Linked DNA regions of Drosophila melanogaster. The protein of the gene in region 1 interacts with the protein of each later gene in a pairwise test. Each region holds a gene or a part of one and is shown on either strand. Other genes may lie near its edges. The genes, in order: Ccp84Aa and scaf6.

Region 1 (3,152 bases):
CTCCTCCACCTGTCCCTTGTTGTCACCGGTTAGCTTGTCATCGACTCCGTAGGAGAAGCGGTACTGGGGGTGGGGGTCGTACTCCTCGGCGGCCTTGACCACGACCTTTTGGGCGACGGCCACGGGGGCGTGGGCGTAGGTGGCCACCGCTGGGGCAGCATGGTACACCTGTGGGGCGGCGATGGGAGCATAACCGGCGCTGGCCACGGCGACGAAGGCGAGGGCGAAGACAAACTAAATTCAAGAGCGTTAGATATCCAACCGGAATTTCGTATACAGTTGATCCCGGATTTCCATCGAGATGACTCACCTTGAAGGCCATGTTGCTAGGAGTGCTGATTGGTAGTTCTTTACAGAAGTGAACTGGATCTGCGAATGATACTTTTCTGTGTCCGATCGACAACTTTTATAGTAAATCAAGCTGCCAGCTCTGCTCTGCTTTGGCCCAATACGCCGACAGCACGTGTTATTTTCGCGGTGACAGCGAAATATATTAAATGCTTCTCGACTGCGATTGTTGTCGGGCAATAACTTGTACTTCCTGTTCGTGGCGCTAAGCTCAGTGGGTGTGCAAATGCTTGTGGCCACAGATTCTAAACCCGTCAGCACCGAAAGAGTGAAAGATCTTTGGGGAAAGGTTTGCGTAATACCGAAAGGGCTTTGCCGGCCGCAATGTGTGGCTAATTACTTTGTTATATAACGCTGTATAAGATCGCTTTAAGAAGATATACTGATCATATATTTTTTTCTTACAAAGCAAATCGCAAAATTTTGATTAGGTTTTTTTAAAGATTTTCGAATCTTTAGAGTTCACTGTGCAATCTGATTGATATTCTTTAAATACTCTATACATATATGATTATAATTATACGAACGGATTTGCAATCTTAAAGAGTTGAATGAACTTTACACTGTGCTGGATAAGAAAAAACTCTTGAAAAAAGATTAATATTTTTTGAAATTGGTTGACACTACAAAAACTGTGGTTCTAAAAACTAAAAGCTAAGTTGGGTCTGCGTTAGTGTCCTAAGGAACACAACTACTTAGCTACATCTAAATACCTAACATTCTATTTACACTCAGATAATAATTTATCAGATACACATTTAAGAGTTTGGCATTTATGGGTCTTAGAACATAAACGTTAAAAATATATTACACAATGCATTATTTTTGTACAATATATAGAAAATCGCTGCTTCATTCAAAATAAATGCCCTTTTGCGAAGTCTGTGGGAATCAAGGCCACCCACCAGACATCCACGATCCCATCCTTAAAATATCTTGGATAATCGAAACGCTATTAGCAGATGCAATCCATTCCCAACTACCAATTTTAACGTGGGCACCGCGCGAATCCGCCGAATCCTTTCTAAATAATTGGACTGCATCTCGCATTCGCAAATCCCTTCTCCTCTCTTGGTTCTCTGCCGGCGTCTCTGCCGACTTTGCCGTTGACTTCGCAGAGCGGTGACTTCGCGCTAATTTGGAGCATGATATTCAGAAGGCCAAGCGTAAGCACCTTGCTTCACCTGAGCAGAAACTGCAAGCGGGAGCTATAAAACCGCTGGCCGGCCAGAAACCGTATCATTCAGCCATCAGCACCGTTTCCGCAAAGAACTAACCCACGAATCCAAAAACCCTATAAAATGGCATTCAAGGTGAGTCCTGTGGTATCCCACCAGAACCCGTTTCTCTAACGAATATGTTCCCCAGTTTGTCTTCGCCCTCGCCTTCGTCGCCGTGGCCAGCGCCGGTTATGCCCCCATCGCCGCCCCACAGGTGTACCACGCTGCCCCAGCGGTGGCCACCTACGCCCACGCCCCCGTGGCCGTCGCCCAGAAGGTCGTGGTCAAGGCCGCCGAGGAGTACGACCCCCACCCCCAGTACCGCTTCTCCTACGGAGTCGATGACAAGCTAACCGGTGACAACAAGGGACAGGTGGAGGAGCGCGATGGAGATGTGGTACGCGGAGAGTACTCCCTGATCGACGCTGACGGCTACAAGAGGATCGTCCAGTACACCGCCGATCCCATCAACGGATTCAACGCCGTTGTCAACCGTGAGCCCCTGGTCAAGGCCGTCGCCGTTGCCCCCGTTGTGAAGACCGTCGCCGCTCCCGTTGCCCAATACGCCGCCCCTGCTGTCGCCCACTACGCTGCTCCCGCTGTGGTCAAGACCGTGGCTCCAGTTGCCCACTACGCTGCTCCTGCTGTGGTCAAGACTGTGGCCCCAGTGGCTCACTATGCTGCCCCCGCTGCATATGCCACCTATGCTGCTCCCACCCACTACGCCGCCCCCGCTGTTGCCTACCACCCCTGAGAACTGACATTCCACATTGCCCAGCTCTTTATTGTTATAGTTTTACGAACGACTTCTATATATATAAAAATATATTTCACATTTAAAAAGGTTATATCACTGTATCCTATCCAAAGGATATGTATTTCCTGGGGCTCAATTCGATTCACGAAGCAATACAATTTATTGTAATTACTTTTGCTTCGTGAGGGCTAAATTAGAGTGGCTGTGTGGCCAATTAATTGAATTAGGCTGCGACATTGAAATTCCAAATTCCAAAATTCCAAAGTTTTAAAGTCAAATTGAATTTTTTCTTTCAATCGCTCCATTCCATTGAGATATCTATGATGTTCGATTCGGGTCTGGACGTTGGCCAATCCTATCAACGAATAATAAATCATAATCAGATCGGTGTGAAATATTCATGTGTGCTTATAAAAGCAATTAACGGATATATAATATAAACGATTTTTTCGTTTGCCGGATTTCGATTTGATTTTGCTAAATGGAACTTCAGTGACCGGCTTTCCCATTCCCCTCTTTGCTCGTACCTATTACCATTAATTTTTTGTATTTAAACAATAGAATAGACTGACTACAAATAGTACACTTCCAAAAAACTCGTATAGAATCATACTAATTAGAATTATTAAATAGAAATGATGTATCTATGAAACTTGCTGTGATTGTTCAAACTTTTCAAAATGTTCAAGCAAACGCAAACAGCTTAGTTTTATGAATGAGTTCGGTTTTTTGACTGCTGAGATGCAGTGACCTTCATAAGTAACTACCATTTTGTGTAAGGTTTTGCAAATAAGTTTTTATAATAGACGTCAAAACCACGGCATTCC
Region 2 (8,244 bases), on another chromosome or scaffold:
CTGGGAGAGGCCTGCGCTCGTGCGCAGCAATGGTGTCTGGACAAAGGAGTGGAGTCGCCCTACTGTGGCATCGCCAACTACATGTATCCGCACTGCAAGGTAGTGGCCGGCAACGTAGAGGCCCTGGAGTTCCTGGAACAAAATGCCAAGTCCTTCAAAATCCGGCGGATGAAGAGATTGGCTGTCAGTGGCGCCTTTCACACTCCTCTAATGCAAAGCGCCGTGGAGCCATTTACCAAAGCCCTGAAAACGGTGCGACTTCAGGACCCCGTCATTAGAGTGTACTCCAATGTGGATGGCAAACCCTATCGCCATGCCAAGCACATCCTAACGCAGCTGCCCAAGCAAATCGTGAGGCCCGTCAAGTGGGAGCAGACTCTCCACGAGATGTACGAGCGCAAGCAGGGCGTCGACTTTCCACGCACCTTCGAATGCGGTCCTGGCAAGGGCCTGGTCCAGGTCCTGGAAAAAGTAAATGCCAAGGCCGCTCAATCCAGCTTTAATGTTATAGCCTAATCTTGTATAAAAATTCAGTTCGCTTTTATAAAAATGTATATTTTCTGGGCTAAAGGAAACAAAAAACTGGGAAGTTATGACCGTTGGCAGATCCTAACTCTTGTCGTCTCGCGATCGCATCCGGTGCGCGAAGGCAGCTCCTTTGTTCTTCCGAAAGCTCTCGAAGGGATCGTGCATATTAGCGCCCACTCCCTGTGGATAGAAAATTATAAGTTGTCCTTTCTTGCGCACTCTTGCCACTTCACCTTGTACATCTCTCGACGATCGCGCACCTCGCCTCCCGAAATGGGCGTGTCGATGCCTTGATTCTTTGAGCCCAGTCCAGTTCCCGTGCCCGCCCAACCCATTTTCATGAGCATTTGGTGGCCCTTGTTCGATTCCTCGATGAAATCCGCTGGCTTGGCAAATGTGCTTCCCCTGGAAAAACAAAGATAGCTCATTGGTCCGACTGTCATGAAATTGTACTATAGCCATGATTTACAGAAAGCTCGGAGGTGTTAGAGATCTGTCGCGGTCCACTCGTCTTAGGTTGGTGCTGTTGCCATTGTCTCGGCTATTGGAATTGCCACGATCACCACGGCCCTCTCTGGTATTTGTGCTGCCGCTGTTGTTGTCCCGTTCGTGGCGAGGAGATCGATTGCGACCCTTGCGGTTGTTACCACCGCCCAACCTGCTCCGATTCATCGGTGGCGGCGTTAAAGAGCGCTCCATGGATCGCGAGCGGGATCGGGAGCGAGACAACGATCTATCTCGATGGGGCGGCGTTTTTGAGCGGGAGCGACTGCGACTCTTGGATCTGCGCAAGAAAATAAGTGCAAATATTTCTAGTTTTTGTGTGAAAATTTTTGATGGAAAACCAACACTCACCGATAAACTCGCTTGTTGCTCTTTTTGGGTAGGGGTTTCTCGAGCACAATCGGACTTGGCGACCGCGACTTTTCTCGAATGCCGTCCTTGATTTCCTCTTCTTTTTGCTTTCGCGCCGCATTCTTCACCTTATAGTACTCATAGAGACCAAGCTTCTCCCAACCCTCACTGCAAGATAAGCCCATTTATAAGGAACGCTCAATAACATCAAATTGAAATACTTACTTATCCCTTGGACGATCGTGTGAGGGTGCGGAATAGAAGGCGTTCAATGCATTTGTTAATCGCTCGCTTTGTGGCGCTGGAGCTGGCAGTCGAATGTCCGCCGGATCGAGGGCTTTGTAGTTGTAATCCTCCAGACGAATGAGCGGCACCATGAGGCCCGCTGGCAGGTCGTAGTAAGGCGCTGTGGGTATTTGTGGCTCTCCGATCACAACAGGTTCTCCAGATTCTCCGTCGACCAATTTCTGTGGTTGCTGGCCATCTTCCAATGTTCCGTCTTCGGGTTTGTTGGTTATAACCGCGCGAATGGCTGCATTGAGCACATCCAGATCCACTTCGCTGCTATCAGCATTTTGCTGGCCAGGTCTAACAATATTCTGGGGATAGGCAGCCATTGGCGGCGGCTGCTTTTGCTGCTGCGGTTGTTGCTGCTGCTGCTGCTGCAGTTGGTGCTGTCCTTGTTGCTGAGGGTCGTCAGGATGGTGTTGCTGCTGCATCTGTAAGCACGCCTGAATCGCTGCACTGAGAACGCCAAGATCAACAGGTGGTTCATTGCCAGAACCCGGCGCCTGCATGGGCGGAAACTGTCCCGGTTGTGGCTGCTGCTGGCCCATTGCTGGGCCCTGATTATGATGCATGGGTCCGGGGAAGCCTGGTGGTGGTTTGGACATGTCCGGAATGAAGAAGTTCGGTCCGCGTGGATCCGCAAAGTGATTCCCCGGTGGTGGCTGCTGCTGTTGGAAGTTACCACCTGGATACATATTATTTCCCGCCTGCGGATGCTGCTGATCATGCGGCCCCTGGCTATTCATGTGCTCATGGTCACCCGGCATTGCTATTCGGTGGGACATCAGCGATGGTATGTTCTTCTGCTGATGCTGAAGCATGTGTTGCTGCTGGGACTTCTGGGCCACAATCTGCTGCTCCAGGTGCTGCGCCTGTTTCTCCAGCTGCACAATTTGCTGGCTAGCATGTTGGATAAATACATGATGCTGTTTCTGATAGCTGAAGCATAAGAGTTATGGTTTATTATGTGCTCTATTATGTTCTTGGACTTTTATACTTACTTATCCAAAGTCGCCTTGGTATTCTGCGTGAATTTAGCAGTTATATCATGATGTGTGTTCTGCAGATTGGTTTTGTACTCCTGCATTGACGAGTCCGGTGACTGAAGCTTCGAGATGACGCAGGCATCGAAGAACTTCGCCTTGGACTCCCACAGAGACAGCAGCTTGGCTAGCTTCTGGCGCTGGTCGGGGTTGCCAACTGTGGGCGAGGATAACACTATTAGAAATCCGTAAAGGAATGGATCGAAGTGGAAATACATACTCAAGTCGGCGCTGCAGAACATCGGAATGACGACGTTCTCGAGGCTGTTCTTCAAGTCATTGATGTTCTTGCGCATGCTGTAAATATATCGTTGGACTTAGGTCTCATCTCCTAGCTACTCTAAATGTCAAGGTATGATGTCCGAAGTCCGGTGGTCGGTCAGGTTCAGTCCAATTCTGTCAGCGTAGTCGTCCGCAGAAACTAACCCACAAAGTAGTCTTACTGCTCAGTGGGTTAGTTATTGAGGTCTATGGCCCTTAAATACTATACTATACTAATAATTGACTGGGCGAACTTACCAGTGATGGAGTATATCATTAACTAAATATATAAGATGCAATTTTTGCTGAAACGTTGAACCATTGACCAAAGCCCTAAAAATAAATTAACAAACGAAAAACATATTTTTCTAGTTCTCTGTATGCACAACAACATTGCCAAAAGTACTTGTTGTGCAAGTATAATGATTTTTGTTAGTAAATCTTCTTTCTTTTTGGTATTTGTGTTTTTTTTTTTGGTTTTTTTTTTTTGTCCGATGATTATCACTGTTAAGTGTTGGTGTGTTGTTGTGCGTGTTTATGGTTAAGCTTATTAAGTAAAATGATTTGTTTGGGTGTGTGGCCCTAGCTAAAAGACTTCCGGATCTGGGGACTACTCATATATGATCATAACATCTCTCGAAAACGAATCAACGAATCAATCTCGAGCCTCTCTGTGGAAGTCTCAATCGCACAATCGCTCAATCGATCATCTCTCACTTGTTTGTTCGATATTTCGTATTTCGTTTTTCTATGTTTGGTTAGTATTTCACTCGTTGAAAGAAAGAAACACAATTTAATTAATACATATTGCAGGTCATTAGGTATAAAACTGAGGCATACTTCTTTAAAAGATATTGTAAAACGACATTGATTTTTGCGCTGTCGGTTGAATGCTGTAAAATCCAGTTCTTGCCTAAAATTGCAATATCAAACGGGTTACTCATATTGTCATTGTCCATGGCGATTATAAATTAGGTTTAGGATTAATCAAAAAGTAGTATGGATTCATTTAGTGTGCGCTTTGTGTGCAGCAAAGCTGCGGAGCATCAAAAATTCAGCTCCATTAGCTAACTTATGACTGATTACGAGACTACAAACAAGCAATAATGTAATCCAGCCTGTCCGCTGAACTCGTATTTACCTGCAGAGATGCTGTCCTTCGTGCAGGACTCGATGATCGGCTGCAGAACGCCATCGAAGTCCCTCAGCACAATGCCCTGTTCGCCAGCCATCTGTTCCTGCTGCGCCGTCTGCGCCGCCGCAATTGCATCCTCGATCTGCTTGGTCTTCTGATTCATCAGGGCCTACAGGTTGGTTTCGTTTGGTTGATTGGTGCGATTAGGATCGCAAGCGTTGGTGTGGTTCGGATCGGTTCGGTTTGGTCATTAGGCACACAAAGGTTTGTTCGCATGCATATTCGCATTTTGGGATTCATTTGACAAGCGTTTCAAAACAAATTTGATTTTAGGATTTGTTTTTTTTTTGTTTTTATACAGTTTTGTCAGTTGGTATGAAGAGTGGTTTGATTTGGTTTTTTTTTTTTTGGTTTATGTTTCAAAAAATACAATAAAGCAAAAATTTAATGTAGCATTGTAAATTGTTAATTAAATAGTAAAAATAATGACAAATATAGATTGTAGTTTGATATTGCTGAAAGTACACTTTAACTTTATCTTATCCGCACTTGGAGAACAAGAACTGAGTAGATCGATTGAAAAAACATTTGGAAAAGGGTCGAGAGCAGGATTGATTATTCTGAGGAATTCGTGGATTAGTTTCATAAGAAACAATTTCAAGAGGGAAGTCACTTCCATTACAGGGAAATTCAATAGCGACAAGCAATAAGAAATGTCCTTCTTATTAGAAAGAATTTAGTTCACAGTACTTATAGAGTGAAAAGTCCACAAAAGCAGTTCATAATTATTAATATTAAACACCATTTGATGAACTCTTGTTCCAGAGTTGTTATTACAAAAACTAGGGAATACAAAACTGCCATCTATGAGTCTATGACAATATCTTTGGAAATCATTTAAGTCCGAAAGTATATAAGGGTTATACAAGTTATCTTCTCTCTTAAGAAAATAATTAAAAGCATTCTGGCTTAAAATCGAGGTATATTCACATTCGATTGGGTCGTTTAAAAGGGAGGTCAAAAATTCGAAGAAGCAAACACGTTCTTATATTCAGACTATAAAAGCAACTTTTAGGTGGGTATTTAGTTTAAAAAGGAAACCAATTTGCTTCTTTAAATTTTTGCCAGAGGAGGCCAACATTCAACATGAAATCATATTGAAATCTTTTCTTTATACACTCGAGCTGCTCTAATCTTTCGGAAAAAGGCTTGCAAAGGTGGGCATATAGAGGTATCCCAGTTATTTCCAACTTCAAATTACCGTGTGCTGTGCGGAGAGATTCGCTTCGGATTGCTGGATCTGTTCCCGCAGCGACTTCTGCTGCATCTTGATGGCTTCCAGTTGTGACGTTAGATTCATGGCCATGGGATTGCCATTGGCCTGCTGATTGTTTGGCGGCCCACCGTTGCCGGAGTTCGGCGGCCAGGAGTGCTGTGTTTGCTGTTGCATATTGTCTTGTGCGGTTTCGGGCGGGTGCGGTGGCTGCTGATTGGGTGGCGGATAGAGGCCCGGTGGTTGGGATTGCTGCATTGGCGGCGGATGTTGCATGTAGTGGCCGGATGGAGCACCTGGTGGCAGTTGTTGGTTAATGGCCTGTTGCTTTAGCACTGTATTGGGTGTTAAAAGGAGATTATAGGGGTTATTTTCCACCAATTTAGAACGCACTCACGAGCTTGTTCCGCTGCCACCCTGAATTGATAATAGTTGGCGAACTCCCCGCCGTAGAGGAACTCGAACTTTGGATTGTTCTGCTGCTTCTGCTTGGTTATCGCCTCGAATTCCGGCCCATTTCTGGCCACAAACTCCGCCAGTTTGTCGATAATATTTCGTAAACTGGCATCTGCAAATAGAAAGCAAATGGTTTTTGCAAAAAATGTGAGCATATCAAAGGTTGTGCGTGCGCTTGTTTGTTTGTATGTGTACACATGTGCATGCCAATCGACTTGGGCACAAAATTAGCTTGATTTTAAGTTATATTCAGCACTTTTTAATTGCTGCACTTACCGCGTGGCGGTTGCACGTCCATTTTGCGACTGTTATTAGCACTATTATCCTATGTAAAATACTAAATTCATAACTTTTTGCACTTTTTCAGCGGCACTTTTCACTGCTTCTTCTTGTTTTTTCCGACAGTGTGCCCATATCTTTGTATTCTTAGAACGACATGTAGTCAAATACTAGGAGTTACTCTCGGCACTACTTTTTAAGTAGTTTTTAGCGCTTATCATACGCTTTTTTGAGCAAAAAAGCGGCTTAAACCTTTATCGCTGCTCATTTGTTAAATGTATTTATTGCCAGTAGCAGAAGTTCCAATTAGAATGACGGTGGTAGCAGAGCTGCCAACTTGTTCCACGTTATACCGGTCTCTCTTCTATTATTACCACAACGTGGCAACGCCGCGCGTCTATCTCAGTTCTAAGCTGACAAAAATAGTTTATTTGTGGTAAACAAACATTTAGCCAGGGCAATTTGCACCCAACAGAAATCTCCACGCCGGCCCGTGATTAATGCAGCATCCGAGGAGGCATGACAAATCCGCACTTTAAACCGACAACTCCGCGGACAGCGTGGCATTGAATTACACGGGCTCCCTGGAAATATAATCTTGAAATAGCCACTATATAGTGTGTATATGTATATAGACACATCCGCTAGCAGCAGAATGACCGATAATAAGGGGAGCGTTATCACCATTAATGGCGGCGAATCGGCGGGAAACTCGCCGCCCTCGCAGCGGAAGTCCTCGACGTCGGAATCTCCGCCGGAACTCCGTATCCTTTGCTTTGACCTCACCTACTACAATCGCACAACTCAGTTCCTGCTCAGCTGCGCCGGCGTCTTCTTCCTGTACATCCTGTACGGCTATCTGCAGGAGCTGATCTTCACCGTCGAAGGATTCAAACCCTACGGATGGTTCCTCACGCTCGTCCAGTTTGGCTACTACATCGGCTTCGGTTTGGTGGAGCGGCGGCTGGAGGGCTATCGGATAAGCGGCGGTTCCTTTTGGAACATTGAGCCGGAGCCACGTTGCATTCCCATGAGAACATACCTAATTCTGGCTGCTCTCACGCTGGGTACCATGGGTCTGTCCAACTCAAGTCTCGGCTACCTGAACTATCCCACCCAGGTGATTTTCAAGTGCTGCAAGCTCATTCCCGTGCTGGTGGGCAGCATCCTCATACAGGGCAAACGCTACGGACTGCTGGACTTTGCGGCAGCCACCTGCATGTGCATCGGATTGGCCTGGTTCACGCTGGCCGACTCCCAGATGACGCCCAATTTCAATCTGCTTGGTGTGGCCATGATTTCGGGAGCGCTGCTCTGCGACGCAGCCATTGGCAATGTCCAGGAGAAGGCGATGCGGGAATTCAAGGCGCCCAGCAGTGAGGTGGTGTTCTACTCATACGGCTTGGGTTTTGTGTACCTATTTGTGATTATGCTGGTTACCGGCAACTTCTTCAGCGGCTTTGCATTCTGTTTGGAGGTGGGTAACATTTGAGGTTTATGATGTAAGAGATCTAAAGTGTATTATCCATTTAGCATCCCGTTGAGACCTTCGGCTATGGCTTCCTCTTTAGTTTGTCCGGCTATCTGGGCATTCAGTTTGTGCTGGCTCTGGTGAGGAGTAGTGGTGCCCCCATAGCTGCCACAGTGACCACCGCCCGCAAGGCTGTGACTATAGCCTTCTCCTTTGTGCTTTTCAGCAAGCCCTTTACCTTACAGTAAGTACTATTCTGTGTATTTCTAAAGACAAAGCTCTATTATACCTATCCCAAACTTTCAGATATCTGTGGTCGGGCCTCATCGTTGTCCTGGGCATATATCTCAATGTCTACAGCAAGAGGAACAAGCTGACGTTGGCCGACGTCCGGCAGAGAATAAAGCAATTTGGAGCCAAGGTTGCCCGCTCACCGAGTCGCAAATTCCTCATCGAAGTTTAGAACGATACCAAAAACACTCACATTTTAGTTGAATTGGAAGCATGGGTTTTCTATAAGAAAACCATTAAATATAATTACTTAATTACATTCTAAACAAACTATGTGCTATCTGTCCATGTCGAACTCCATTACGCGCTTGAAGAGATCCTGGCGCTCCTTGGCGGAGGTTATCTGACCCATGGTGCGGTCCAG

What was found.
Region 2: the proteins of Ccp84Aa (region 1) and scaf6 interact in a two-hybrid assay, tested with the Drosophila melanogaster proteins (one large-scale study listed by BioGRID).

The regions. Positions count from the first base shown.
Region 1 is NT_033777.3:6,702,498-6,705,649, forward strand, and holds Ccp84Aa (Ccp84Aa), read left to right. Parts: upstream 1-1,586; 5' UTR 1,587-1,649; coding exon 1,650-1,661; intron 1,662-1,716; coding exon 1,717-2,322; 3' UTR 2,323-2,406; downstream 2,407-3,152. Other genes in the region: Ccp84Ab, read right to left, coding at 1-234, 311-322.
Region 2 is NT_037436.4:17,036,323-17,044,566, forward strand, and holds scaf6 (SR-related CTD associated factor 6), read right to left. Parts: upstream 6,253-8,244; 5' UTR 6,138-6,252; coding exon 6,116-6,137; intron 5,952-6,115; coding exon 5,781-5,951; intron 5,719-5,780; coding exon 5,372-5,718; coding exon of another isoform or gene 5,363-5,371; exon of another isoform or gene 4,612-5,362; intron 4,280-4,611; coding exon 4,117-4,279; intron 3,889-4,116; coding exon 3,816-3,888; intron 3,309-3,815; coding exon 3,234-3,308; intron 3,012-3,233; coding exon 2,935-3,011; intron 2,872-2,934; coding exon 2,673-2,871; intron 2,611-2,672; coding exon 1,609-2,610; intron 1,552-1,608; coding exon 1,384-1,551; intron 1,313-1,383; coding exon 998-1,312; intron 934-997; coding exon 762-933; intron 709-761; coding exon 610-708; 3' UTR 537-609; downstream 1-536. Other genes in the region: beg (bad egg), read left to right, coding at 1-516; Papst2 (PAPS transporter 2), read left to right, coding at 6,744-7,595, 7,652-7,833, 7,896-8,052; POP5 ribonuclease P/MRP subunit, read right to left, coding at 8,158-8,244.